Linked DNA regions of Daphnia pulex. The protein of the gene in region 3 purifies or fractionates together with the protein of the main gene of each other region. This does not show direct contact. Links are inferred from orthologs where the notes say so. Each region holds a gene or a part of one and is shown on either strand. Other genes may lie near its edges.

Region 1 (10,195 bases), on a different chromosome or scaffold from region 3:
TTTCAGAAATCTACTTTAAATAGGTAATGTGTTCAGTTACTTTCTAAATTTGTAACTTAGCTAAGCTTTCAATAGTTCCAAATAAAATCTCGAAATTATTTTATATTATCTCTTCACACTTTATAATCAGGCAAGTCATTTATTTGCTAAGCTTATCAATAAACATAGTTAAATATAGGTCAGACCAATAATTTATTTTGCTGGGTATTGCGTGTGAAAAAATGTGACCTTTCACTTGCACGAAAAGTGTGTGATGAATGATGCACATGTACATTTTCTAATTAATCATCTCATTTCTTAAATTCATTTTCTATTTCAGGTTAAAAGATGTCTCGTCTGAAAAACTTTTTTAAGCGAGGAAATAACAATCAAAGTGACTCAGGACCTTCTGATATTAGTGGTCCAGTGAGTGTTTCTCATAATGTTCATGTTGCCCTCAACCATCAAACAGGTGCTATTGAAGGACTCCCTGAAGCCTGGCTAAAGTTGGTTAATAAAGAATTGACGTAAGTAGCGTTTTGCCAACTTTTTTTTTTAAATGCCTGTGTATGCCTATTAATTTGTTGAAACAATTTAGTCAGGGAGAATTAAATGAGAATCCAGATGCCGTCCTTCAAGCAGTTCAGTATTTCATGTTTTCTCAGAAACAAGGCCACAAAAATTTACCTTTCAAGGTAAATTAACCTCCAATAATTATTTATTGCAATAATTCAAATTAATTGTGTTCTGTCTATTAAGATTTTGGCTACCAGAGAGATAATTGAAAAAGAATCTATGGAAATTGAAAACATGGGTAAGTTTTGAACCACTTTACGCTTTGTTACTTTCTGAATTCAAAAAGTGAACAGCTGAGTGCAACATTCTCGTCAATAAGGATCAAGCAAAGTTGCGACTGCTATGCTTGCTAGTGCTGCCGTGAATCTCGGTATGGCTTCTATGACTTTACCTAGCAAACAGCCCCAAACACCTCCCGCTTTACCCGCCCGTTCACCTGTTGGTATTACAACACCGACAACGTCTCCTCGGCCGTCCCTATTCCCTACGGGCCATGTTCCACCGCCCCTGCCTGCTGTTCCGCCTAAAGGTAGCCGTGTATCCCTGGAATCTACAAATCTTGATGACTGTAAGTGTTCCTCGACGCCAAGCTTTCATTTTATGAATCTGTGAGCTTTATCGATTTTTTTTCTTTGATTTTCTTTGATTTTTTTTATTGAATGATCCTAATAATATTTTTATTTTGTGTCAGGCGGACCTAATTTCAACAAAACTGTCGTCGTTAAAGACGTAAATGATATTTTTAATTTTATTTCTATCTTCTTATATAAAATGTGCTGAAGCAATTTTCAAATTTAAGGGTAATTTAAAGGAAGCAAAGAATGAACAAGAAGATTTCGATGGAGGAAGCCCACTTCTTATTCGCAAAAAAGAAATTAAAATGGATGGTATGATGTCTGATGATGAAGTTGATTCCGCATTAAGAAAGCTTTGCAAATGTGGCAATCCCTTTATGCGTTATGTTCGACTAAAAGAAGTTGGCGCTGGGTATGTGCTATTTAAATAATATTTATTCATTCGATACATTTAAACAATATTCTAAATTTTTAGAGCGTCTGGCACGGTTTACATTGCCAATGATTCAGAGTCAGAAGGGAAAAATGAACGTGTTGCCATCAAAGAGATTGATTTGTCAAAGCAACCTAAGCGCGAAATGATTCTGAATGAAATTTTCGTTATGCGTGACATCATTCATCCAAATCTAGTCAATTTTCTTGATGCGTATTACGACGAAGATTTCCTTTATGTAAGTGCAATGTGCTAAAAATATTTGATCGCCAATGATTAAAGAATTGAAATGCCGTAGGTGGTAATGGAACTTCTAGAAGGAGGACCATTAACTGATGTCGTAACAGAAACGGTGCTCAAAGAAGGACAGATTGCTGCTGTCTGCCGCGAAGTTCTTCTTGGAATAACGTACTTACATAGCAAAGTAAGTGTTGGAGATCTTATGATTCCAAACAAAGCCCTTAACAATTTTTCTGCTTGTTTTTAACCAGGGTATTATCCATCGAGATATCAAATCTGACAATGTTTTGCTTGGCATGGATGGAACAGTTAAAGTGACAGATTTTGGGTTTTGCGCAAATATCCAAGGCGATGAGAAGCGCCAAACGATGGTGGGAACTCCTTATTGGATGGCCCCAGAGGTAATTTACATTTCGTTTAGGATTTAAAATGACAATGTCTAAGTATATTTTAAAATCAAATAGGTTGTAACCAAAAAGAAGTACGGTAAGAAGATAGATATATGGTCGCTTGGTATCATGGCCATCGAAATGATAGACGGAGAGCCACCCTACCTAAAAGAAACTCAACTGAGAGCTTTGTTCTTGATCGCAACAAATGGTCGACCTCAAATTCCGTCATGGAACAAATTGAGTCCCGAGTTTCAAAATTTCTTAGAGCGGTGCTTAGAAGTAGATGCAGACAAGCGAGCTTCCAGCGAGGAATTACTCAAGCATCCCTTTCTCCTCCGTGCTTCTGATTTGCGAACTCTTAAAGGAAATATTCAAGCTGCTCAGCAAATCTTGAAGAAAACGATGTGAGAGAAACTGCCTTTACCCTAGCTGTTAAATGACAAAGTCCCTTTAAACGAAATAGGGTATAAACTTGCGGGACCAAAACCGAGTGCCATACCATTTTTAACGAAAATGATCCTTACAAAGATTTTTGGGTGTTCCATTTTGTTTTTTAACTTCGGACAATCATTTGACTAAAGTATCTTATTTGTTTTAAATTTCAAGCTGTCGCTACCCCCCAAAACTAAGGTTTTCATGGACCACTCTTTCTTTCCCTAGTCTTGTTCATCAAGCCTTAACTTTCACAGTATTTTATGTTCCGTAAGACGGATTGATTGTCGCTTGGCTTTTATCCTTATGTGCATTAAATTGATGCAATATACAACTGTGAACCTTCGTTCCAATTCGATTTTAATTTAAATAAGCGCATCAAATTGAATAGATTGACTAGACGACCAGATTGTTGAATAACTCGAAATTCAGAGAAAAATTATTCTAAAATTTCCGTGTATTTAATTCAAAACTTGGTAATTTCTGTTTAATCGTATTTATACATCACAACGAAATATTTTTTTAAATAGAGGCAAATAGAGATTGAAGAAACCATGGCGCCCAAGATCCTGTATATCACTTACGTTTTGCACAACAGACAACTGAGAGATCGTGCGACAAAACGAGCCCAGGTGATTATGGTAACTACTTTCGGATTTCATGTGGGCTGTTGGCTAAGATGGAACATAAAGTCTGAGTATTTTCTTGCAATTGTGCTGCCAGATTACTTATGTACTCCTTTGCCTCGCAAAGCTCTTTCTTCAGATTATCTATATCGCTGTTACAAGCCTTCAATGCAACTGATTTTTGTTCTAGTTGGTATCTCAAAGAGGTTACTTCCTCAACGGAGTTGCGACAATTGCAAGTTGGGCGTAAATTGTTTGGGGCAGCAACATCGGGGAGAATATAGTCACAGTCGTCCTTAGTTAGGTCTACAACTTCGTGGTTTGCACTATCGCGAGTGACTCGAGCAGTTGAAGCTTGGGCTTGGGCTTGAGCAGCTGGTTTTCCCGAATCCAAAATGTTCTTCTGGTGATGATTAATTAGATTCAGCAATAAAGAACTCAGATTAGTGTCCTGAGCGGTGGGGTTCTTTTTAAGCATCAGGTCTCGGATGTAAGTATCGATGTTGTGCAGATTTTGAGATATCTAAAGAAAAACCAAATCGTTAAAAATCGCAAAGAAATACTGAGGCAACTACAGTAATAAATTACTAGTCCATTTTGAGGAGCTGGCGATGATGGTTCCATCATTTCCATTCGAGATACGACCTCCGTATTTTTTGGCAATACAGGACAGGAAGGGTTTGCAGATTTTGTTTGTGCTGCAACAGTTGGTGAAGTTTTAGCAGGTTCACCTTTTTTCAGAATCAAAGTCTTGGCAGCAGGTTGTAGCATTTTTAATGGTTCAGCTACGTTGGTTTTGAGGGCTGGATCTGTTGAAGAAAAAGCTTTACACTTAATAGTCGGAGTCGAGTTTCCCGCGAGTTTTGGTTGTTGCTGGAGTGTCGTGGAAGAAGGAGGAGCTTGGATTTGCTGTACAATCTTTCCAACATTCTTTTGTACGATGTGAGGCGGAGTATTTAATGATGACTTTAGCGTTATCACGGTTCTCGAAGTTTTATCAAATGCATCTTTTCTCACAATCAAAATCTTGGAGGGAAGTTTCACGGTGTTTTTCAATGGTTCAGTTACTCTTTTAGGAGCATTGCTATCTCTGCTTTTTGGCGCAATTTTGACAGGCGTCGATTTTCTTCCTGAACCTTGACCGATTTGACTTAACGATAAAAGCTGCAGAAATTCGTTCTTTGAAACAGATGGTGCCAAAGGGGTAACTTTATCCGTAGACGCAACAACCAAATTTGCCTCGACGTGTTGTTGTTGAGCGGATGGTCCGGAAATTATCAGATGACCGTTGGATACTGTTGGTGAAATGCTTGATACAGGCGGTAGAGTATTCGACATATCTTTAACTTCGGTTGTGATGGAGTCATTTCCTGATGTGTTGAACTGTTTACTAATTTCACTTATTCGCGTAAACGACGTGTCGAAATGATCCTCAGCAGAGGGTAGTTGCATATCGATTGATTCAATTTGATTTGCATTTGGTTCAGGCAGCACCTGATTTTTAAACATTGTTATTATTTGGTGAAGTTCTAGGTAACAAAAAATTGTCTATACCTTGTTTTTTTTATTATTCTTTCTTAATAAAAGAGCTGCTTCTCTCTCTGCTATTTTAATTTTTGCTTCTCTTTTTGCCTTTTTTATGGCAAGTCTCTTTTTCTTCCATTTCTTTTCTCGAATTTTTACCTCGATGTCTTTGGCTTTTTTCTCTGCTTTCGTGGCTTTTTCAATAGCCTTCTCTTTTTTCTTTTTAAGTATTGGTAGACGACGACTACGCCTCTGACTCAATAATCTTTTTTTTTTAACTATACATGAATTTACAACATTGTAGTCAAAGCAAAGGTTGAAAAAGGTGATAATGACTTAGACACTATCGTACCTGAAACAGTTGTCTTCCATTGGTAAGCAGTTGGTGGCACTGTTGACTGACAGTAACTGTGCTCTTCTGTGGGGGGTGGAACAGGTATGATTTTTGGAATCGGAATGTTTAAACTTGGCACCCAATCCACACCTACATCAGGTTTACCTATATAGATATTGAAATATGATCAAATTATTTTCACACATATTCTATCTAACATACCTGATACAAAATGTTTTGAGCAAACTAAAATTGGTTCTCTTTCCGTATCAGCTTCAGTAAGACCCAATGCTTTCAACCACAAAGAACGTCTCTTTTGGATTAATTGTTTTGTCAATTCACACATAGGCCCAGCTTTTACCTTTGGGATACTTGGCATACTAAAGTATTTTTCATTTCCGTTACCCGATGTAACAGATGTGCAATATGGACTCAGAAAACATCTGTTACGAGGTCCCATCTTAAAGACGATTGAATATTAACTAAATATTCCTTTTATTGTTTTCACAGTTTCGGAGGGAGTTTGAGTTCAGTTTAAGTTGTAAACAAAAACCCACAACAATTAATCGATAGTGGAAAAAACTCGATAATCGATATATTTCCTCGTGGCTTCTGCTTTTGCCAGAAGATTCTTGTCTTAACTTGCAGTCTTGCTCTTGCACCACAGTCCCTTGCAGAATTATTATTTAATTCGCTGATAAAGTTCATCTTCGTTCGCTCTATTCATTCTTTAAAATCTCAATTTGTAAGACTCTGTTAAAGTTCAAAATCTCATTCCCATAATGTCATTTTCGGTGATAAATGTCGTTCGAAACGTTTCACGCCATGCGTTACCGGCGTCCATGAGGTCTATCCTGTCGAAACCCATTACCAGGTCTTTGTGGTACATGTCTAATCCCACAAATCAATTTGTCCCAACAAAACTTTCTCCAGCATTCAAACATACTCCCCTGAGCCCTTCCTGCCCATGTGGAGAATGCAGAGGAGTTCATACAAGAGGTAATACATTTTAACCATTTCACGTCACATTTAAATACAGCATAATATATGTTGCATCATAGGGGACAAAGAGCTGATTGAGTTCCTCTCAGAGGAAATTGCTGCTGAGAAGAAGGGAATGAGCAAAGCCAGGCCTGTCGCTAACTTGGATGGATTTGATGTTAAACACAATGGTTCAGAGATAGTATTGTCTAAGAAATTTAATGATGAACAGTGAGTAAATCTTTATGGGACAATTCTAAATTGAAACTTGTGGCTTAATTTTATTCATTAAACAGAATTGAGATAACAGTTAACGTCAACCATTCTGTTGATGCTGACATCAGTGAGGAAGTTGACAACAAAGCTGACAATCCTCCCCAGGCTGAAATGAAATCAAAACCACACTTTGAAGTCAAACTAATGAAGGGAAATCAAGTAACCAGATTTGCCTGCAGTTACATTCAAGATGCAGGAGAGCCTGTTGAAGATGCCCCAAGTAAGTGTTAATTGTATTTGAATAGCCAACAATATAAATAACACTCGATTTTTTCAGATGACATTTTCACTATTGATGAACTTGCAGTATATGAGGACAAACATAATGATCAGACTTATGCTGTCGCTGGAGACATTCTTGATGGGGTATATTTTAAAGTCAACAATATTTTAACCAAATTAAACTGATATTTCACATTTTCGTTATAGTACATGTACGACCTTCTGATGAATCTGCTCGAAGAACGAGGAGTATCCAACGAATTTGCTGAAAAGCTGAGCGATCTAGCTACCAAGCGGGAACACCATCTATTTATTAATTTGTTAGAGAGCCTTCAGTCTTTTGTCCAAGGCAAATGAAAGGTTTAGAATAGTTTTGAGATGAAAAATAAAAAGCTATGTAGTCATTTTGTTTAAAATGCTGATTTATTATTTATGGTTTTCCAAAACAATGGTTATTTAGAACCATCAGGGGTCTTAAATTCATTTTCAGTCCCCATTACTTCTTTTTCTATTTCTTTAAGGTCAATATTCTGTTCCTGGATTGCTTTCTAAAACAGAAAAGAGTAGATAAACATCTATAAAAGACAGAAATGTTGGACCAAAATTAACTTACCCTAACACATTCACGATACACCTTAAAGAAAGGACCACATGAGTCTGTTGAATGATCCCCTCTTAAGAATTTTTCTGTGAACCATGTGTTGAAACATGCATCATAATTTTGCTTCAATTGGCTACAGGCTTCACTTACACTATTCATGGTACAAATTTAACCTAGAAAAATAAAAATACAATAATCAATTAACATACTTTAAGAGCTTTGTGTGTCCCACACTTGTACCTTTGAACTGTAGATGAAGATTGGGCAGGATAAGCAGAGATCATTAACAAATTAGAGCACTTTTCTTGATTGAAAATTTATTCAACACGGTTGTAATTTCAATTAAAACCGGTCCTCAAAACATATTATGTACTAGGTAGTTTACAGCATTATCAAATCATGTGTACTTTGATTCGATCGTCTGCTCCATTGAGATAGCCTAGCGGCGAAAGAAAGTAACTTTTGTAGCAGACAATATTTTGCATCATTTCTCATTACCATAATCCCATTCCCTTCCTGCAATTCCTTGAATTTGGACGAGCTCACATGTGGACACTATTTATTACAGCTGTTGTAAATTATAAGAAATACTTTTCTTTGCCACAAGAGAATTGAAATACTGAATTAAAGAATGAGCTCCAATAAAACTTCCAAATCAATGTCCAAGTCCGGTTCTGAAGTTCTTAAACAAGAAGATGTTGTTCTTGCTGTTCTAATCGCTGATAGTTTTTCAATACGCTTCGCACCTGTAACTGATTCAAAACCGAAGGTGAAGATCCTACAATTAGATTTTTTAACGTTGAGGACACATATAACTGTTTAACTATTATTACATCAGGCACTTCTTCCGCTGGTCAATAGGCCCATGATTGACTATGCCTTGGAATCTCTACTTCTTAGTGGAGTACAGAAAACCTTTGTTTACTGTGTTGCACATGCTGATCAAATTCGTCAGTACCTCAAAGAATCTAAATGGATGAGATCTGTGTCTCCTATGTCCATTGAAGTTATTTCTCAAAGCCCTGATGACTGTCGATCTCTTGGAGATTCCCTTCGAGACATAGATGGAAAGTCATTGATAAGAGGAGACTTTATATTGATGTCTGCTGATGTCATTTCTAATGTACAGCTCATACCCATATTAGAAGAGCACAGGTAAATTGTAACATCTCTATAAAGTTGTAATCAAATCCATATCAAGTTTTTATTTTGATTTCATGCACTCTTTAATAGAGAAAAGAGGAAAACTGATAAAGGGATTGTCATGACACACATTTTTAAGAAATCTTTCCCGGGTCATCGATCCCGTTCTGCAGAAGAAGAACTCGTCTTAGCCATCAATCCCACCAACGGTCGTATTCTCAATTACCAGCAAACAACAAACCTGAAGAAGCTCAGTTTTCCTTTGGTGAGTTTCTGCTTTCAGTGTTTCGAAACCAACGATTCTTATTGATTTTCATATCAAATCTACAGGAAATGTTTAAAGAGCACGGTCTTGTTGATTTGCGCTATGATTTGGTTGATACGCACATTTCTATTTGTTCTCCCGTGGTTTTGCCGCTTTTTTCCGACAATTTCGATTACCAAACGTGGGGAGATTTTGTCCGAGGTATTCTCATCAACGAAGAAATTCTTAATAATACCATCTACTACCATCAGTTGGAAGGATCATACGCGGCACATGTTTCGAACGTTCCCATGTATGATGCTGTGAGGTAAGGAACACTTTCCAACATTTTAAATTCTACTCATCAAGTAACGAAAATGTTTATTTTTACAGCAAAGATGTTATTCAACGATGGGCATTTCCGCTTGTTCCCGATTTGAATCGGAGTGAAACAACTCCTCGACACACTTTATCACGTCACAATGTTTACAAGCAGCCTGGTGTCACCTTGGCCAAGTACACAATAACCTTTTCTCTTTTTTATTTCCATGTTACCATGATAACACCCTATTTGCGAAATAGGGAAAGTGTTTTGGAAAGGGACGTGGCGGTAGGAGAAAACTCTAAAATAGGAGAACGCACATTCGTCACCCAGTCCGTCATTGGCAGCCGTTGCACAATCGGAAACGACGTGTACATCAATAATGCTTATATTTGGGACGATGTTAACATCAAGGTTAGACCCAGCGAAAATTTTATTTTTGATAAATAATCAAACAATTTGCTTTTAATTAGAACAACTGCCACATTGAAGTAGCTCTCATCGCCGATGGTGTTGTGTTAAATGAAGGAGTCAAAATCGGCCGAGGCTGTGTCATTGGACCCGGAGTAGTTTTAGCTGCCGGTACCAAAATCCCTGACAATACTCGCCTCATGGCCCATCCTCCCAAATGTGATAACGACTTTGAAACATCGGACGAAGAAGATGGTAATGCAAACTTGAATACGTATGTCTATTAATTTAAATATAGTTACATTGGTATTTTTGTTTCCCCTTTTAGATAAGGTAGCTAAACCGTTTAGTGCCGATAGTGTCGCTTACGTTTATCAACGACCCGTCGAAGAAGATTCCGATGCAGAGTCTTTGATTGATGAATTATGGGGCTTGGACATTGATGAAGATTCAGAAAGTGAAGAAGATGAAGACGAAGACGAAGCTGATAACGACGAAGATGAAGAACACGAAGAAGAAGTGGACGTGGGCGACCTGCCAGAGGATATGAATGCTAGATGTAAGTTGCCTATGTGAACCTAAAAAATTAATTTACTAATTTGTTGAATTTTTCTATAGCATTTTATAATGAAGTCTTGGAGAGTCTTCAAAGAGGCTACGAAGAAAAAATCAAGGGTGACAACTTGGTTCTTGAAATTAACTCGTCCAAATACGCTTATAACGTTACCATGAAAGAGGTGAACATGCTCGTTATCAAAGCTATGCTTTCGTTGCCATCCGTCATGACTAAGGTAAACTTTAACGGCGAATCTTTTTGTATTAGATGTTTGATTGAAATTTGGTTGGCTTTTACAGAAGGCCGCCACTGGCACCAACGAAGATTG
Region 2 (9,919 bases), on a different chromosome or scaffold from region 3:
GAATCATGTACTATGTAAATGATGTCAGCCTTTTGGAGGATGAAATGACTCGGTATTTCATAACATCCTGCTACATTGTGAAATTGAATAAGTATTCATATTCAAAATCTAGGTACCACTATTTCCTGCAGCTGAAATCAGATGTCATGGAAGGACGGTTGAGATGTAGCTATAATGAGGCTGTTGTTCTTGCTGGTTACAGACTTCAAGGTATTGATCTATTACAGAGAAATCCTTTTTTCTCAACAACTAACTAACTAAAAAAAAATTATTTTAGCCGAATTTGGGGATCATGATCCTGAGCGTCATACTTTACAATACTTGAAAGAATTCGTCCTTGTTCCCAAAGTAAATAATTTTCCTAAAATATGTTTTTTTTAGTCGGTAATTTTATTAATTACAAATTTTCCGTGTAGCATCTTGTGACTAACGAAAGTCAGTTGGATGCTGTAACCGAAGCGGTAGCTGCGCAACATTCTAAACTACTTGGATTTCCTCAACCTGTAGCCGAATGCTGGTACATTGTGGAAGCCCAACATCTTGACGGTTACGGCCAGGAACGATTTTTAGCAAAGGTTTTTACCCCAATTTTCAAATTCAAGTTTAGAGATTTGAATGCACGCTTTATAAACTTTCTCCGTTTGTATTTTCAGGAAGAACCAGCAGGCGAGGCACTGGTTGCTACGTCGTTGCAAGGAATTTTGGTGATGCGTAACAATACGGAGCGAGTTGTTTTTTACAGGTAGCGCTGTCGATCGTGTTGTTTTCTCTTTACGGTATTTTCAAGTTTTCAAACTTGCTAGGTGGGACGATATAACAAACCTGCTGAATCAAAAGAGAATGTTTGGTATCGAATGCCAACGTAGCGAAGAAAATGTTAACTTTTATTTCGATGATCCTGAAGCAGCCCGTTATGTCTGGAAATTAGCTGTTCTTCAAGTAGGGTCTACTTAAATTACTCGATATTTTAATGAAAACATTCTAATTGTGATCCGGTTTGCTTTTTAGCATACCTTCTACAAACAAACGTTGTTAACTCTCCAGTCCCTGCAATCCCAAGCGACCGAAGACAAAGATATAGACATGGGGATAGCTGGTTTAAACTTGGAATCAAACAGTGCCACTGTCAACAGCAATCTGGTCCCATCCACTTCAATGTTTGAATCTGCAGAGCCCAGGAGTTCCAGTGCAATGGCCGAATATCGCATTGATAGCTTAGGAAGCGTTCGAGCCCTACCACACTCAATTTCATCACCTACTTTAACAGTTTTAAATCCTGCTCAAGCACAAACGCATTTGTTAGCTGGCACTGCGGGCAGTGGTGGAGGATTCGCATCAGGTGCTGGATCACTTGCTGCCTCTCAACAAAATTTACGCGCTTTATTGCCGGCTTACCGTCCTGCACCTGATTATGAAACTGCCGTTCGAGTCAAGTACGGCGACGATATCGCGCAATTGCTTCTCAATCCGACTCCTCCAGTCCAGCAACCAGTACAACAACCAGCAGCTGTAGCTGTTCAGCCATCCGCTCCTGCACCTTTTCAGACACAGCAACAACAGAGTGCCCAACAGCAGATGCAGATGATGAAAATGTACAAACCCCCTCCGCCTTACCCTTATAGCAAAGTTGGCAGTAATAGTAGCCCAGACTTGGCAGTGGCCGTTATTAATGGAGTGGCACCGGTCAATTCAGGATCGATGAGCCATTTACCAGTTACTCAAGCCCAGACAGAAGTTTCTGCCACATTGCGAAACGGCGAGCCCATCTATCAAAATATTCCCTTACGCCAGCCCGGAAGCCAGCCGAATCTCTCTCCGTCCACATCCGCACAAACTGCTTCCCAACCCAGGAGAAAATGGGGTTTGCCTGTCCGTAGCTCTGCTCGTTCTGCTGTCATCAATCGCGTCCAGACCGATTCGCCTTCGTCATCCCCAGCCGCCAAGCGAAGTACCAATGATTCAACGTCCAGTTCTGCTTCCCACTCTCATCACTTGGTTTCACCCGCCAGAGCTGCCCCTGCTGATGCAACTCTTGTCAAGGATCATTTGGTAATTCAACAAATTTTCAGCAGTAATTAGTTGAAATTATAGTGAAGAGGATTTATTTTGCCATTTTCTTACAAAAACGACCATCTAGCGCCAAGAAATGGAATCCCGATTGGCTGATGGCCAACTTCTCCTGGAATTTGAACTGATTCCCAGACGAAAAGCCGGTGCGGATTTTAGCATGGCTGCTCACCCGGATAACGCATCTCGTAACCAGTATGGACAGTTTTCAGTAAATTATTGCGTTGTATTAGTAATTAAACCATTGGTTGTTTCTTTTAGGTATCAAGACGTTTTGCCCTACGAGGAGAATAGGGTTAAATTGACTCCCAGCCGAGAAAACCGAACAGGCTACATCAATGCATCACACATCTCCGCTGCTGTTGGTTCGGCTCAACGCTTCTACATTGCGGCTCAAGGTCCACTGCCATCCACCGTAACTGACTTTTGGCAGATGGTATGGCAAAGTGACGTCTACGTTGTCGTTATGCTAGCCGACACGACGTCAAGCAGCAATAACGGTGGACAGCAAACCCCAACTCACAACACAAAGTCGGTCAGCTCTTTGCGAAGCCACGTCAGCAATAGCAGCATGAATGGTTACAGCGGTTTTATTTATTGGCCGCAACAAGATGCTGCCACATTAGAATTTGGCGAAGTACTAATTGCATTGCTCATGGAATACCTAGAGTATTGTTTTTATTTGTTGCTTTTTTGTTGTTGTTGTGGTTTAGTACAAAATCACGCGGCAGGTTGGCAAACTATCCGGCCGTCAATCCATCACAAAGTTAGATGTAACTCACCTGCCAACAGCTCAACAACGCAGCATTTGGCATCTTCAATACTCTGACTGGGCTGATCACGGTTGCCCCAAAGATGTGACCTCTTTCCTTAGTAAGACAAATTTGATTGGATATTTTGTTTACAATGTTTGGGGTTAACATAAAAATAATTGATTTCAGGTTTTTTGGAGGAGATGGACACAGTGCGAAGACATTCCGTGTCTGATGTTCCACTGGGTAAGAACCGAAACACGCCAGTGTTGGTTCATTGCGGAGCGGGTGTTGGTCGAACAGGTGTCACCATCGCTTGCGACGTTTTACTTACATCACTCGATCACAATGTTGTGAGTATCATTCAAATCTGCCTAATCAAATCATTGGGCTAATGTTCTTTCTATAATCAACAGGTCGTCGACGTCCCGAAACTTATTAATCACCTGCGCCAGCAAAGGATGCTTATGGTGCAGACCGTTGCCCAGTATCGTTCAATATATGCCCTACTACTTGCTTACCTTGGCCGCTCTCGACTCATTTGATCTTGCAATGATATATTTAAAACACACACACACACACGATGCATTCGGCCTTTGATTCAATTGTTGAAAGATGAACAAGCCAATCAACATGTTCCTCCATTTTTGTGATACTTAGGCAATTCATATGATCACCAACCATTATTTGCTTGCTTTTTTTCATAACATACCACTATTAATGAATTGTGGGAAAGCTATTATACAATTTGTAAAGAGTGTTTCAATCACATGCGTTTCTTCAATTTCTATTGCATTTCTACTAACTCCACGATGTGCAGCAATTTTATAGATTATTAACTCACGCCTAGTCCCTATGACGTGCCTTTTTTTATTGATAGAGAATTAAATAATAAACGATATTTTTAAACAACACCTGATCTTCATTCATTTAATAAATAATAAAAATTATCGAATTAATATAATTGAAATTCCCTAGATGCTCTACAATTTGGCGACGTGGAACTCAATATACCTATCCTCCCGCCTCCCCCCTTAAGCCAGGCACGAGTAAGCCCTGAAGGGATGTTTCATTACCTCTAACCGCCACCAGGAGGACTAAACAGAGACTTCGACTACTATCTCTACTCAGATCCCTTTCGACTCTCGCGCAAAATAGATAGACATTGTTCCCGAACATTGACACACTTGTTAATTATTTTCCAATTTAGTCAACATCTTCGTAAGGTTGGTATATTTTCTTCTCTTAATTTCTTCATTTTGAGTGATGTCAATTGTTGAATATTATCCAAGTTTTGTTTTGCTTGCTCTAACTTGTTTGTCACGACCCTCCCCCTATCTGTGGACTGACTCACTCACAAACAGTCGCTGCTTTGCTTTCGATGCGTAGAGCGCCATAGTGAACACTGTTTCTCAGATAAACCAATTCTTTATCCGTTGACATCCTTGCTCGTGTTTAAAAACTTGTCTATTATATCTCAACTACTGGTCTACTAGGTCAGTTTGTCATTTGCTGAGATTTATTTTATTCGAAATTGAATGCTTCAGTGTTACACGATCAAAAGTCTTTGTGTATATGGACGCCGATTCTGTTGACTTACCGCCATTGACAGATTCGATTTTTCTCATTTTATTTCAGGTTTAGTAAGCGACGTTTGTATGTGCACAGAAGACTGAAGCCATAGTTCCTGCTTCTTTGGTTTCACGTTATTTTCGTTTGCAGAAATCGTTCGCCTTCGTTGGAGAAACTTAAGTTCAAGTGATCGTTGTTGAAGAAGGAATTCGGCATTTTGCTCGAAAGTTTTGTTAAGTAAGAAGAAAAAGAAAAGAAGAGAAAACCATGGCAGAAGCCGTTGCTAGTCAGCCAAGCTTAGTGGCCAACAATCATGCCCTTTCGCCGATGAGACCCAGTCCTCAGCCGCTAATTGCGAAGCAGTAAGTCTTAAAAATCATGTGTTCTTTGTTCGTATTTCATGACTGTTTTTGTTAATATTTTAGAGAGAATAACTCTGACAATTTCTGGAAGTCTCAGTTGAAGATCCCACCCAAGGATCGTAGAAAACAGACTAGCGTAATATTCTTTCATTCAAACATCTATGAGAGTTGGGGGTTAAATTTTTGGTTTAATTTCAGGATGTTACCAACACTAAGGGAACAAGTTTTGAAGACTTTTGTCTGAAGCGTGAATTGTTGATGGGTATCTTTGAAAAGGGATGGGAGACACCTTCACCCATTCAAGAGGTTGGAATTCCTATGGCTCTGACTGGGCGTAATATCCTGGCTCGTGCTAAGAATGGAACTGGAAAAACAGGTGCTTATTGTATACCAGTATTGGAACAAGTAGTTCCGTCTGAGCAACACATCCAAGGTACTGACAAGTTTAAGTTTTTCTTACAGTTCTGGGCCTAATTTTTTTTTCTTTGTAGCATTAATTGTTGTGCCAACACGTGAACTGGCATTGCAAACAAGCCAAATCTGCATTGAACTAGCTAAACATTTGGATATTCGTATCATGGTGACTACTGGTGGTACTGACCTGAAAGATGACATTATGAGGATCTTTGGAAAAGGTATTCATTATTCCTTGTTTACTTCCATGCAAGTTTTAACAATCATTGTTTCTTCCAGTTCATGTTGTGATTGCCACTCCTGGTCGTGTTTTGGATCTGATGGAAAAGAAGATTGCGGTAATGGACCGTTGTAAGGTCCTTGTTTTGGATGAGGTATGTGGGAATTATTAAGAGTTCTGTTAGACGATTGTTCTTATTCTTTTGTGTAACTAGGCTGACAAACTGCTCTCTCAAGACTTCATGGGAATGTTGGATCGTATAATTTCGTTCCTACCAGCCAAGCGCCAAATTTTGCTTTATTCGGCAACTTTCCCTGTAACTGTCGAGGAGTTTATGGTAGGTTTATTGGTTCTTGTAATTTGGTTCTTGATTTAACAATGATTGTATCCACAGAGGAAACACATTGATAACCCATATGAAATCAATTTGATGGAAGAACTAACACTGAAAGGTGTCACGCAATACTACGCTTTTGTCCAAGAACGGCAAAAAGTGCACTGCCTCAATACGCTGTTTTCTAAAGTAAGTAAAGGTTTATTTAGATTTTCAGTATAAGACTGATGAGTTATTGTTGGATTCCCCTTCTCTCGTCTGAGAGAAAATCAACACCTGATTTTACTTGAATTAATTTTAACTGCTGTGTTTTAAAGTCACGATATTAATATCTGTGTTGATATTATAGTTGCAGATCAATCAAAGTATTATCTTCTGCAACTCCACTCAACGTGTGGAACTTTTGGCTAAGAAGATCACTGAGCTGGGCTACTCGTGCTATTACATTCATGCCCGTATGCAGCAAGCTCACAGAAACCGCGTCTTCCATGATTTCCGTAATGGGCTGTGCCGTAACCTCGTGTGCTCCGGTAAGATTTGCTTCATCTTTGTAATGTTAAGTGCTCGACTGTTATGATGAACTTTTTGTTGGATTCCCCTTCTTTCGTCTGAAAGAAAATCAACATCTGATTCATTTAATAATGTGAAGCCAAGAAGAGAAAAGGATGTTGAAACTAATCTTTTGCGTTTTTATAACAGATTTGTTCACTCGTGGTATTGACATTCAAGCTGTGAACGTGGTCATCAACTTCGACTTTCCCAAGATGGCTGAAACTTACCTGCACAGGATTGGTCGTTCGGGTCGGTTTGGACACCTGGGTATTGCTATCAATCTGATTACTTATGAAGATCGTTTCGCCCTGCATCGCATTGAGAGTGAACTTAGCACTGAAATCAAGCCCATTCCTAAGGTTAGTCTTGGATATCTCGTGCAAGTATTCATTGTATTTACATTGTTTTATTTTTTCAATGAAGGTCATTGACAAATCCCTCTACGTGGCCGAGTTCCAAGAAGATTCCGAGGAGCAATCAGGAAAGTAAAAAGGCGAGAGAATGTCTTCGAAAAGCGCATGCATCACACAACGTCATGATAGGACACAAAAAAAAATTGAGAAAAAAGAAAAGAAAATGAATCCTGTAAGTGAAATTTATGAAAGGTCGTTCACTGGGACCAATGTATTGAAGATCAGAATTAATGAAAAGCACTCATTAGCAATTGGAGGAGTGCTGCAGCATGTAGGGAAAAAAACCATTGTACAAGAGTAAAAACAAGGATAACTTTAAGCATGCGCTATCGAAAGACTGTTGTAAATATGTAAATTCTCACGGTGGCGAAGAGCCAGTTTTTTTTTCAGTTTAGGAGAAAAGTTTTTGTTTTGTTTTTTTGGGTACAATGTTTTGCGTGAATGGATGTGTGAACGTCGAAGGCTAAAGCGTTAGGGCGGCAGGTTCCGTAAAAGATGAGATTCCGTCAGGGAGTAAGTATGTGAAATGAAGTTTGGGGGGGTCAGCTTGGTACACTTTGCATTGCTTTTGGAATGGAAGAATCTCGCTCCCAAAAGCAGTCCACTGGTGATGTTACAATGGCTCCCTCGTCGAGGAAAGTTTCACCGATATAAGACTTGAAAGCCGCCCGTTACATTTTATATACATAATCTAGCCGACCCACTACCTGAATGTGAATTGTATATTTGTTAACATGTATCGTACCAAAATTCTCGCCCAACTGCGTTTGGATGGAATTTTTCGTACTCCTCTTAATACCGATTGTGACTCTGTGCTCGCCGAATTGCACGAGCTTTATATCCCGAACGCGACAGTTTGCTGATGAACATTACCGAACGTGACCTGATAGAATGAGCGAGATCTCAAGTGTCATTATGCACTTCTTCCCATCTGTATACCCTCAAGAAGTCGACTTCAAAACAACAAAAAAAAACATAAAAATTCTTAGTTTCACCTCCAGAAGAAACAAAAAAAAAATTTTTCTTTTCAATTTCAAGTGTTTGCCGTTTAAACAAATTGTCGAAATTATTAATAAACGCTTTCTGAAATTGAATTCATTTTCTTAATTTTTCTGTGAATTTACTATTACAATTTATAATGATAAAGTATGTGTAATGAACTTTCATTGTAGTACCTTGGGCGGGTTTAGTTTTCTTTAAAAATCAATAACGATAACTAGATCAAGTAAGAAAATGTAAACAATTTTGTATAATGTTTTGGTTAAAATTTGTGCACTTGGCTATTGCTTTCTTTTTAACAACTTAATTAAGAAAGAAAATAAATGTCGTGAAATCCATTTTATTATACTTCACAAAAAATACTCTAGGATCTAAGATGATGGTACTTCTGATTTTTTAGATTTGCCCAACAAGATGGCATCGCGAAACAAATTACAATATAACCGAACTGCTGTTGGGGAATCGTCATTACCCGGTACTGGATAAGTTATCAAATTTGGATTGCTGTTTGAGTCCACAATTCCTATAGTTGGAATACACATTTTGGCTGCATCCCTGACAGCAGTGTGTTCCTGAATGCACACATGTAAACAAGTAAGCTTGAGATTTAAGTCTGTAAGATTTGTACAAATACCTGCATCTGGGGGTTCAATGTGGAAACCATAATGATAAGATCAGGTAATCGGGTTACACCTTTATAAATCTTTTCAGAATTTGTCAAGAGATGGAAATCCCATTCTCTTGCATGAGCATATTCCCCTGCTTCTTTTGCTGCATTTTCTACTGTTAAAGTGTGTTGTGGATAGTGAGATACAAATAAAATTATTCCTCCTTTATAGGCTATATGGGCTGTGAAGTTGAGTGCATCTTGTAACAGTTCAGTTGTTTTATCCAAATCAAAGATGATGTGACCTAGTCGAGATCCAAAAATGTAGGGTTTCATATTGGGATGCAGTGTTCCATCCTTGTGTCCATAGTGCACTTTTGCATCAAACAAATCCTTCAGTCTGAACAGATTCCTTACACCAAAATAATCAGGAAATCGGAGAGGATTTGTGATTTCCTTCAATTCTACAAGTAAAACAAGGTATAATTTTAAGATTTGCAATTTTCCAAATTATCATACCCCTCTCTTTAAGCTCAGTTGGTTGATTAACTTTCAAAGCTGTTGCGTTCTGGCAGTGAGAAGTATCACTTGTGAGTGAACATGTTTGTGTTAAGCACCTACCAAATTTCCAGGAGAAACCTAGAAAAAACAAACAAGAAAGGATTGGAAAGGACAGTACTTTGCAAAATAAATTTAAGTCGAGCTGTACGATTTGTAATTGTTCTAATCATCGTGAAAGCAGAAAAAAAATTCGCCGCACTACTCCTTCAGAAGTTAATAGCAGACGATGTTGTTGCACCCGTTGTTGCTAGGTTACGACAGAATGAGATAAAAACGCGATGAAAAATTTCGATTAACTAAATCGAAGATGTAGAAATGTAGAATATTTGTAATAGAATATTGTAAAATAATCTCCTAATTTCATGTTGAGGATTTAACAAATATTATTAATAAAATTAATGAACTAATTACAGCTGGTACGAAATTGAAAATCATGTATTTGAATGAGACAATGTTATGCACATAAAATTTCCAGAAAACTTATTTTGTCCAGCTGACTTTAGGAATATCAAAATGCTCTGTTAGACTGTCAAGATGTCTGTTAAATTCCTCAACACGTTGCTTGTGAGTCTTAGAGGCCTTTTCTAGAATTCGCTTTTTCTGTTGTTCCTCCTTCATCTGTTCAAACTTCAATTGAGCCTTTGTTTTAACCACAGGCTGCTTGTATGATTGTGGGGTTTCATTTTGCTCTTTAGTTTTAGAAGACTCTCCATCATTCTTAGCCTTTTCCTTGTTCTTCTTCTTAAGTTTCCTAATGGAAGACAAATCAAATTATAAACAAAGAACATGGTATGACCTTAGCTGATAATTATAAACTTACTTTTGAATATCTTTATTAGCAGTTCCTTTCAATTTTAAACGGCCTTTCACAGCAGCCTCGTACTCCATCGTTTATTGTGTATTTGTGTTGTATAAATAACAACGAATCGAGAAAAAATGGCCTAAATGGGTGCTCGAAAATGAATGTCAACCTTTCGTCAACAACTTTGCGTCAATAATGAAGACTAAAATGAAGAAAAGCTTCGGCAACGAAGTATAGATGGCGAGCGGCAGTAGTATCGTTTTG
Region 3 (10,198 bases):
CATTTGGCCATTCAATCGGCTGAGATGAATCCTAGTGCTGTGATTGAAGCACTGTTTCAGCTAAAGCAATGGAAACTCTTGCGATTAATAGGTTATTCCGTTTCAACGCCGATCGAGTACATTCCTAGAGGTCATCTATTTCCGTTTAGAGTTGGAATTTTTTGTATTCTGGACCAGCTGGATCGTTACGACGCACATTTGTTAAAAAGTTTCATAAACAGCATGGACGCAACAAATGAATTCCAAGTGATTGAAGTCGTCGTTTTACAGTGGATAGTGAGCGGCATTATCTCTACCAATGATTGTTCGAAATTGACAATTGCTCTCGGCCGAATCGGCAGAAATGATCTAGTAAACTTAAGTTTACAGCTACAAAGCGGACGATCAGGGACTTCATCAATGAGGGACGAATGCTTCAATCAAAGTATATTGAGGCATTCTACGATTGGAAACAACAGACTCCAGCCAAGCTCATCTACCGGTTACTGCCTGATTGTACACCAGAAAAACATTTACAGAGAACGGGATCCGATATTAAAACACGTTGGGAAACAACTAACTCAATTAATCTAAATAGAGATAAAATAGGATGAGACTAATTGTTCATTTATTTTCCCCTTATCTTTTATTGCGAGGGTAGAGGGTCGAACTCGACGTACCAAATTACCAAGGAAATGAAGCCGATTGCCGGACATTAAGAGAAACATTTCTCTCTCTCGGTTACCAAGTTGAAATAGCTGAGGACCTGACCAATTTTGAATTGAAGCAAAAGGTGCTGGATGTCTCACGTGGAGTTGACTGGACGAGATACAACGGCCTGACCCTTTGCTTTTTATCCCACTGCATTCAAGGCCAAATTTTAGGCAGCAATTCATTGACCATATCATTCAATAAAGACGTTCGAAAATATTTTAATGAATGCTACTGTCCTGGCTTAAAAGGAAAACCTAAAGCAATAATTTTCTCAACTCCATTCGGCTCCGCTGGATGGAATCCGGTTTCGCAGTTAGATTGTGTAGGAGGATACAACCCACATTTATACGACAATTTCCTTGTTATTTGGCCAACGTCTTACGTTCTGTCTGTTTCAAATGGTAATTATAACGAAAACTTAATTTTTACATTTAATTTTACTTTGAGGGAATTAGGTGGATCACAATTTATTACGGAATTCAGTACGGAACTGAAGAAATCGAATGCAGCAAACGACACAACTCTTGCGTCATTCAGGACTGCCATTAGTACCATAAATAATCGCAACAACCTTACTCGATACCGAAAACGTCAGTTTTGGTCGATTCAGCAATGGAATGTTTAAATTTCGCATCAATTTGTTCATAAACCAAATAACAAGTCAAGTCATAACAAAATAACTGATTACACGACGATTTTATTTACTGTACTTTTGCTTTTACGAGCTAGTCGTACATGCCCGCAAGACATAGGAGCACATAAACAATACAGAAGACGATAGTGCCATTTTGTCGGTGTTCTTCACAAGTCGTGGAATTTTGTATACCAAAACAAAGTATGGACGAAGCGCGAGTCACGTACAATACGAAAATTACGGTTTGCCACGTCGTGTAAAATCACTCGCGGGTTCCAAACGTTGCACACATCTCTGCAAATCCGAAAATCTGACCAACTTGTTCAATTACATGACTTACATCCCACGCACATTCATTCAGAAAAATTGGAAGGGGAAATTGGGACAATGTAAAGGGGGCAGCTGGGAGACATAAATTGAGTGAACTGGGGGGACAGATGCAAAATATGAATAGACGAGAAAAGAAAACAAAGTCAAAAGTCTCTACAATAATTAAGGAAATAACAGGTGAGAAAAAAACAAAAGAAAAACGAACATATCAACTTCCTTCTGTTCTAGGTGTTAAATCCAAAGGATCTCAATCCTCCCAAAAACAATCCTCACCAGGTTACTGACGGACCCGATGAAACACTTGTAGCAGGAATGCTCCGTACGCGAAGAGAGGAGGGCCCAACAAGAGTTACGATCACTTCACACCGACGGCGAGAAAACAAACCAAAAGAAACTGTACACCCACTCGCACCACTCAATCACTAATCCGACGCCGTTTTCCAACTCTACCAAACAGAACCTCTCACACCAATTGCCCCCCATATTTCTCATCAAATGTTCAACGGAATCATTCCCCATGCTTCAAAGTAGCGCATCAATAACCGGCTTTCGTACATTTTCTACGCTCGATTCTCCTGTTGTTGCTATTAAAGAAAGAAAAAAATTAAAATTTTGAATTAATTGTTGCAGTATCATCACTTACCCAATTCCTCCTTTGGTTGTAACCACCTCTGGGCTGACCAGTACTTTCGGAGTCGCGATTTCCTCCACCGTTACCTCGTCCACCACGGCCACCTCGGTAACCACCTGATCCCCGATAGCCACTGCGTTGCTGATAGCCTCCATCTCTTTGCTGATAGCCTCCATCTCTTTGCTGAAAACTTCCATCTCTTTGCTGAAAGCCGCCATCACGCTGTTGATATCCTACATCTCGGTTCTGATATCCGCCATCACGTTGATAACCACCTTCACGTTGCTGATAGCCACCGTCGCGCTGTTGATAGCCATCGTTATTCTGCTGGCGATAATAACCTCCACCTCCGCCGCCACCACCACGCCCACCGTAATATCCTCGGCCACCACCGCCTCCACGATTAAATCCACCTCGGCGTTGATTGAAAGGTAACCCGAATGTCTCGGCGTTTAATTTTCGCTCCTGGCGCCAATCTGTCCGTTGAGTATTGCTACTTAAAATATAATATTATAAGTCACCTGTCCATCAAACCCATAAAATTATGATTTCTTACCCTTTGCTGCGCTCCACAGCCTCGCAGCTGATTGAATCGAAGAACGAGCGCGTTTTGTCGTAGCAGATGGGTTTCTCTGGAGACTCGGAGCCCTTATCATCGTCATTGGGTGAGACTGAAACCAAAGCTTCTGTTGAAGCTTCGCCATCGGCAGAAACTGCAACGGTGTCAGCAGACTCGCCTTCTGTCTTCTCTTTCTTGTCTGCCTCAGGAGGGCCGCTCAATACAAGTACTGTATCACCACCAATTTTCATCTTGCCCATTTTGGTTTTCAGTTCCTCAAACTAATTTAAATCATAAGACCATGAAGCGCACGAACACCTTCAGAAACTACACAAAATAGTTACCTTGACGTTTGCAGATTCAAAGTCATAATCTTCGTCGAACTTCAGGGGTCCCTTGGAGCGATTGTTAAAGTTGCTAGCAAAACGATTGAAAGATCCTTGTGGATGTCCACCCTGAGATCGACCGCCATCTCTGCGATCAGTATTCTGACCTCCACCAGCGTTGTTACCACGTGCACGGCCACGAGAATTTGATCTTCCATTTCCTCCCCGCTGTTGCTGGCCTCTATCGTTCTGTTGAGACCGACCACCACCACCTGATCCACGGCTGCTAGTTCGTTGATCCTCTTTCTCACCTAGCAATGGTGATTTCCTCGATTGACTCGTCCCCGAAGCGCCACCAACAGGCGTTGAGTTGTTGGACCTGCCAACTCCACCCAACAAATCTAAGGTATTTCCAATAAACAAGATTAGACAGGTGTTACAACCGAATAGAACTACAGACCAACGCCACCAAAGGACAAAGCCAAAGCAGTTAACAAGTTACAATTGCGGGTTCATGCAAATGTAGAAGCAGCTATATATACGCATGCAAGTGAGTGGGAATGAAGCAGGCAAAATTAGTCATGCACTAAGCAAAGACAATTTATGTAGGCAATGTCTTTTGGCCTTGTACCTTGGTCTCCCTCGGATAAATGATCCGGGTGAGGGGGCATATCCCCATGAGGGGAAAGGGGTAACTCACTGGCTGCAGCAACAGCGGCGGCTCCACTCAGTCCAAGTCCACCAGTTAAACCTTTTAACAAACAAATCAAGTTGGCTACAAAACACTAATGAAGACAAAGTTTTACCTCCAAGTCCTGCACTCAGGCTGGGCGCCATCAGGTTTCCTAGCTGTCCCATAGGGCCACCAGAAGCTCCACCATCAAGATTCTATAAAAAGGTTTGATTACACATCAAATCTAAAATTAAAACATGCAAGCAAGAATTACTGGATAAGGATTCAGACCACCCAACGGTCCAAAGTTGGGCCTCATGATACTTCCAGCAAGTCCAGTTGGTTGCTGCAGTCCAGTTGCACCAAGTGATCCAACACCTGGTACTGAATGCTGCACACAAACATGAGAATATTTTTTTAAAACTTCCATCATGTCATCGTCAATCAAAGTGATAAATTTACCTGAACAATGGCTGGATCATAGGGAAGAGTGCCTGGTATGGGAGGTTGAGGTGCAGGTGGTTCACAAAGACGAATATCTTTAATATCCTGACCCCTGAAGATGATAAACTCAAACACCTCATCTCTTGCAGCAACAGGGTTATCTGTAGGCCGGTTTTCCGTTCCAAACATACGCACTAGAATAACAAAGATGATTAGAACATGCTGACATTCACAGTACTTCTTACTGAATAAGGAGAATTATTCCCTAGCTATAATTAAAAACAAGTACAATGACACAACTGACAAGTCACCCTACCAAACACTGCAACCAAAATAGATGCCAACTATTTAAATTAGTCATGTCAACAGTTACTATGCATAGTTGACATGAAATGAAAAGAAACAGTTTTCGAGTAAAATGTTTCGTATAAAATACATCACATCACAAAAGAAATGCTTACCTTTAGCCAAAGCCAAAGTTGACTCATTGGGATTCAGTGTGAATAGGATCCCTTCGTAACGGATCTCCGACTTGGAGATGAGACTGATTTTACTGCCTAGTAACTGCATAGCTTTACTCATTTTCGAAATTCAGCCTTAATTGGCTACACAATTTCCGTCCCAACTCGATGAATTCGGATAAGTATTTTCGTCTAATCGGAATCCGTCGCACCGGTGATCGAAAATTGAATGATTTCCAAAAAGAAACGAAGCTACACAAGAGAACTCAACTCCGTTGTTAGGGGCGACGTTGACAGATTTGTTCGAAATTTCAGCAACTGCAGCCTGTTGACGAAAGTGCCTCGGGATGTTTCGTGTCTTGTTGCTAAATTGGAGGTAGAGTGTGATTTGTTTTAATCCATTTAACTTTTTTCAACCTGAAAAGAAAAGCAACTTATTATTCCCGTAGATTATTTGACTATCCAGTATCTAATTTGTATTTTGTTTAATGCTACTTTCCCCCAAGTTTTTTTTTTCATTTTCATAGCATGTGATTGTGACACAAAATTTTTTCCAAAAATGATTTCTTGAATTATTCCAATGAAATATGGAAGTGATAAGAATTTTTTAAATTACAGATCGATGAATAATACCAAAAAACCAAATATAAATAATAAATAATGTCATTTGTGGTTTGAAAAGCTAACGAAATAAATCGATTGGTGATCTCATTTTCTTAAAATTAAAATTTTACGGTAGTAAACTTAGAGTGATTAAATTTATTAATCAGTTATTGATAATATATAGTCATGCAAATTTATTTAATCAAAAATAAATGATTAACTTGAAAAGTCTTTTACGTAATATATGGAATTAATTGATGTTTCAACGTTGCATTTGACTTGGACGACCCGTTACGATAATTTCGTCAAAGATGGCCGGAGTTGCTGGTAAATTCGTGAAATCTGGGCTTCTTAGAGTCCAAAACAATGCCGTTATCCAGGTTTGGAATGCTTTAAGCATACTATAATATTCATTTAATCCAACATAGGGAAATAACGTTCGAATCTTGGTTTTAGCAATCCCATCTGTCTACGTTGCGTGAGCTCTCGGCCGGCAAAAAAGCGGTAAGAAATAATACAAGGAAGTGTTTTAGGTTATCAAATCTCAGAATATTGCATAATTTTCTTAGGGATTAGCGGTAATTGGGTCTCTAATTGGTGGAGCAGCTGGTTTGGCATACACTTTAGACCAGTCGGTAAAGGCTTCAGGCCTGGAGTTACATGCTCCCAGTTTTCCATGGAGTCACAATGGGCTCTTTTCATCTCTGGATCATGCTAGGTATGCTTAATTTTAAAGTGATTTGTTGTTCTGAATGTACATAACTATTTTTGGAAATAGCATACGTCGTGGTTATGAAGTCTACAAACAAGTCTGCTCTGCATGCCACAGCATGAAGTATTTGGCTTATCGCAACTTGATTGGTGTCAGCCATACAGAGGATGAAGCCAAGGAGGAAGCTGCTGGCATTCAGGTCTGTATTAATGGTTTAACTGTCAATTTTCCAATGTAGTTCAAAGTAATATCCATTGTAGGTTACTGATGGGCCCAATGAAGATGGTAACATGTTCCAACGCCCTGGTAAGCTTTCTGATAGATTTCCGAGCCCATATGCTAACGAAGAAGCTGCCAGGAGCGCCAACAACGGTGCCCTTCCACCAGACCTAAGTTACATTACCGCTGCTCGTCACGGCGGAGAGGATTATTTATTCTCTCTGTTAACTGGCTATACCGATCCACCAGCTGGTATCACATTACGTGATGGTCTTTATTATAATCCTTATTTCCCTGGAGGCGCTATTGGTATGGCTCAAGCTCTTTACAATGAGGTACGATTTCTGTTCACTTTTTCAACAAAGCGATTCTAACAAGCATATCTTTGATCTTAAGGTGATTGAATACGCGGATGGTACGCCAGCTACTGCCAGTCAAATGGCTAAAGATGTGTCCACCTTCCTCAAGTGGTCAGCAGAGCCCGAACATGATGATCGCAAGAAGATGGCTTTGAAAGCTTTGATGCTATTCTCCTTCTTGATTTCAGTAGCTTACTACTGGAAACGCCACAAGTGGAGTGTTGTTAAGAGCAGAAAAATCATCTACAAGCCAAAAGAATAGGATGTGTCGATTACAGAAAAATTTTATGCAATGTAGAAGGGAGGATGACGGTGCAATCTTTGAGCTCTCCCTACCATCATCTACATTTATTGGTTTAGACACCCAAAAACCGATTGATATAGCGATTGTACATTCGAGTCAAAACATCTTCGACTCAACTGTAGGAATAATAATAAAGATAAGGTTTAAACACCGTAAACACGAAATGTCTTGTTTATTTCACTTAATCAACAAATAAATCAAAATCTTCCGCGACCACCCCGCCCACGACCCCGTGTTCTCAAGTGATTGGCAGATCGAATAATTTTACGTCGCTCTTCATGATGTTGTTCGGCTTGTTCTCTAGCTTTTGTGACGCGTTCACTCTAAATGGTCAAATTTTAATTAATCCGTAATTTGAAAAAAAAAAAAAAAAACTAAATTATGATGAATACCTGTGGGAGCGTGAAAGTCATTTCTCTAGAACCAGCTGATGGAGCAAGCTTAACTTTGTCTACATCTTCTTCTAAATGAATTCGCTCACCAAGCGAAGCCCTGAGTCAAATTGAAATAGCATACAACATTAAAATGTAAACACAACAAAATCGAAGATAATTATTGATACTTGGCCAATTTCTTCTTAGGTTGATCAGTGGTTGAACGGAACCCTTGGAATTTTTGCCCAGGTTTTAATGCCATGAACTTAGGACCTTCCAGCTTCTCTTGTTGTCTTTCCAATTTTCTCTGTTGAAACTTCTCTTCTCTTATAATCTTATGCTGTAACTTGATTTCATTTCGAAGACTTGCGTCGTCAGAATCACTGCTGCTGTCATCGGTCTGTTGGGGAAAAATTGTATACAGTATAAGAAACGTTTACCATTAACATGCGGTATGAAGTATTTGTATTACCGAAATTGTCCGTTTGCGACCCTTTCTTTCACTATCTGAAAATTCATCATCATTAAGTGGATTTTCCGTGCTCGTTCCCTGCAATGAATTAATTACTTTATTGTGTCATTTTGTAAGGAGCTATTTTTTATTCCTACCTCGACGGGCTCGAACTGGTCTTCGATGAGAGCCTTTTTGATACGTTTTTCTCGGATTTTGTCCAAACGTGAAACTGCAGGATTTAGTAATCTGTTGACGGAATAGGAACGCATTGTTTACACTACCAAGTCGTTTTGTTCTACATCACAAATAAATATTACCTGAATTCTTCAGAAGATTTGTCTATCTGGAAGTTCGGGTTTACGAAAAGATCTTTGAAACGCGAATCATTTAGAATGTTGGAGCTCATAAGTAATTTTGCACCACTCTTCTTTCCAACTGCTTCAGCATCATCAACCGCCTTACTATCCTCCATAAGCTTAAGTGCAAGCTCACGGTTAATCGCAGGAAGTTTCTAAAAAACAAACAATTATTGTTTTTGATCCAAATTTGAATTTTAGGTGTATTACCTGCAATTGAACTCTGCTGGACCGCTGTTGGTCAATTGTTTCCTTTACTTTATTCTGTTTGTAGCGGGTAAGTGATAAAGGTTCAACAATGGATTTGGCTTTCCTATATAGTCGCATGTCGATAAAATAACCGTGCATGTAGGCACGCAATAGATTGGTCCCTATAAAGGAAAAGGCGTGTTAAAAAGAAGAATAGAATTCTAATAAAATTTGGAAAATACCAATAAGGTGACCGAATCCGAGGTCATGTAGTTCATCTACTGTCAAGAATTTGTAATCGTCATAGACGGCAGCAGTTTCTCCCTCCTCTAATTCTTCTGTCAACGAGTCAAGGAAACTACACCAACGAGGAGCCGGTCCAAGATTAGGTATGTAATAAGTGAGCATTTTTTTGTCTTCCGTAGCCATGAACATCATACCACTTGAAGGTACCAAACATAAATCGTTCAAATCTGATGTTGCTTCAACAGAAACGTAAGGTTCACCCTATTGACATTAAAAGTATTATAGCATTTTGATTATTATTTTTTAATTTTATTTACCGTATTTCTATCCCACAATCGAACGATTCTGGAATCCATTGACGCTACCAAATCATGATTCAGGTGATGAAAATCTACTGTTTTTATTGGAAGTCCATATCGGTGGTCTTTCACTTTAGTCGGACGATTGGATCGCAAATCATAAAGTAAGATCTGGCCTGTTGAAGTTCCAACTCCCAATGTCAGTGCATCACGGAACTTGACAGCCGTGACTTGAGGGACACCGGTAACTCTATAATTAAAAACATGGTAAAATGTGATCTAAAAACGTTAAAAAAACCATTTACTGAGTGTCAGGTGTCACAGAGTGTAAAGCACAATCGAGAACTCCCACTCTATTCCTTGCACGAGGATCCCATGCCTCTATTTTTCCTTCTTTGGAACCACAGACGAACAGCTGATGAAAGGGATTCATATCACAAACGTTAAGAGTGGTTGCTTCTGTTTGAAATGAATTAAGAAACCTCCCTTCTTCTAAATTTAAGCGATACACGTCTGGCCTAAAGAAGATTTACAGTTAACTAGAGCAACTAAGAGTACTCTAATCTTATTGCATACCCGGTACCAACTATGTAAAGGTTGCATGACTGAAAATGATACTTCAAATCTCTTCCAAATTTCGGTATTCTTGTTCTATAGTATCGGCCATACTGAGCGTGAAATTCGACAAATCGATCACACTGCAAGAAAACTACTTTGCTGTAATCCTCTGACAACATTTCAAATTTGATGACTTCTGCATCCATACACCGTTCAAATTTCATGGACAGATTAGCTACTTCATAGCACCGAACTCTTGGTTTGTAGATGCCTGTAGCCATAATATATTTCCCATCCTTTGAAACTTTGATTGAGGTGCTAACCCCAGGCATGTCAAAATCTTGAATGAGCTCCACTCGCCTTCTGATGTCCAAGTCTTTACTTTGCAAGGCTCTCTTTTTTCTGTCTGACAACCACTGCAAAAACAAAAAGAAAATGAGATTTTTTATACAAGACATTAGCCTATCTAAACATCAGAAAATTTTTTAAATAAATTTATGATATTATATTAATCTAGTGATTGTTACAAGCATGGCAATTAACATGCTAACTAACTGTCAGGGAAAACTATAGAAACCACAGAAGCTATGTATACTCATTAATAGCTATTTGAAAGGGAAATTAACACAAAAAGACACGCTTACCTCTGGCAAGGATTTCCCAGCACTCAAATTATAAATTTTCACATTGTTAGAGCTTTGAATCAACATTCTGGTAATTCTTTTGAGAACCTGTCGAAAAACGATTTCACAATCTCACACAACACACGTGCAC

The links.
Region 1: the proteins of protein LSM14 homolog B-like (region 3) and complement component 1 Q subcomponent-binding protein, mitochondrial-like purify together in Homo sapiens (affinity purification with mass spectrometry; 3 studies listed by BioGRID and IntAct, with this or other methods). This does not show direct contact. The link is inferred for Daphnia pulex from reciprocal best matches to the Homo sapiens genes LSM14A and C1QBP.
Region 2: the proteins of protein LSM14 homolog B-like (region 3) and ATP-dependent RNA helicase me31b-like purify together in Homo sapiens (affinity purification with mass spectrometry; 4 studies listed by BioGRID and IntAct, with this or other methods). This does not show direct contact. The link is inferred for Daphnia pulex from reciprocal best matches to the Homo sapiens genes LSM14A and DDX6.

The regions. Positions count from the first base shown.
Region 1 is NC_060026.1:13,816,196-13,826,390, forward strand, and holds complement component 1 Q subcomponent-binding protein, mitochondrial-like, read left to right. Parts: upstream 1-4,747; 5' UTR 4,748-4,807; coding exon of another isoform or gene 4,808-5,055; 5' UTR 5,056-5,129; coding exon of another isoform or gene 5,130-5,276; 5' UTR 5,277-5,333; coding exon of another isoform or gene 5,334-5,571; 5' UTR 5,572-5,893; coding exon 5,894-6,110; intron 6,111-6,172; coding exon 6,173-6,323; intron 6,324-6,388; coding exon 6,389-6,588; intron 6,589-6,645; coding exon 6,646-6,734; intron 6,735-6,797; coding exon 6,798-6,947; 3' UTR 6,948-7,006; downstream 7,007-10,195. Other genes in the region: serine/threonine-protein kinase PAK 2-like, read left to right, coding at 328-506, 578-674, 739-793, 875-1,123, 1,247-1,284, 1,355-1,542, 1,606-1,801, 1,862-1,987 and 2 more; uncharacterized protein LOC124203752, read right to left, coding at 3,273-3,776, 3,842-4,747, 4,808-5,055, 5,130-5,276, 5,334-5,571; translation initiation factor eIF-2B subunit epsilon-like, read left to right, coding at 7,823-7,960, 8,030-8,346, 8,425-8,599, 8,665-8,906, 8,972-9,094, 9,161-9,314, 9,374-9,566, 9,640-9,870 and 2 more.
Region 2 is NC_060018.1:12,395,038-12,404,956, reverse strand, and holds ATP-dependent RNA helicase me31b-like, read left to right. Parts: upstream 1-4,658; coding exon 4,659-4,753; intron 4,754-4,816; coding exon 4,817-4,889; intron 4,890-4,951; coding exon 4,952-5,186; intron 5,187-5,244; coding exon 5,245-5,388; intron 5,389-5,446; coding exon 5,447-5,541; intron 5,542-5,601; coding exon 5,602-5,724; intron 5,725-5,781; coding exon 5,782-5,910; intron 5,911-6,070; coding exon 6,071-6,251; intron 6,252-6,420; coding exon 6,421-6,632; intron 6,633-6,696; coding exon 6,697-6,762; downstream 6,763-9,919. Other genes in the region: tyrosine-protein phosphatase non-receptor type 14-like, read left to right, coding at 1-52, 113-210, 278-348, 417-575, 654-742, 804-939, 1,009-2,049, 2,138-2,704 and 3 more; 28S ribosomal protein S2, mitochondrial-like, read right to left, coding at 8,057-8,257, 8,320-8,756, 8,812-8,860, 8,914-8,931, 9,352-9,604, 9,674-9,741.
Region 3 is NC_060022.1:6,100,159-6,110,356, forward strand, and holds protein LSM14 homolog B-like, read right to left. Parts: upstream 5,030-10,198; 5' UTR 4,873-5,029; coding exon 4,752-4,872; intron 4,485-4,751; coding exon 4,309-4,484; intron 4,238-4,308; coding exon 4,121-4,237; intron 4,062-4,120; coding exon 3,980-4,061; intron 3,925-3,979; coding exon 3,805-3,924; intron 3,575-3,804; coding exon 3,192-3,574; intron 3,129-3,191; coding exon 2,845-3,128; intron 2,785-2,844; coding exon 2,301-2,784; intron 2,242-2,300; coding exon 2,218-2,241; 3' UTR 1,371-2,217; downstream 1-1,370. Other genes in the region: uncharacterized protein LOC124196543, read left to right, coding at 1-543, 641-1,094, 1,149-1,318; cytochrome c1, heme protein, mitochondrial-like, read left to right, coding at 5,666-5,734, 5,811-5,858, 5,924-6,072, 6,133-6,265, 6,327-6,620, 6,682-6,906; nucleolar protein 10-like, read right to left, coding at 7,146-7,271, 7,341-7,440, 7,511-7,722, 7,795-7,872, 7,932-8,022, 8,094-8,287, 8,343-8,503, 8,564-8,828 and 4 more. UniProt on the Homo sapiens protein: Essential for formation of P-bodies, cytoplasmic structures that provide storage sites for translationally inactive mRNAs and protect them from degradation. Acts as a repressor of mRNA translation. May play a role in mitotic spindle assembly.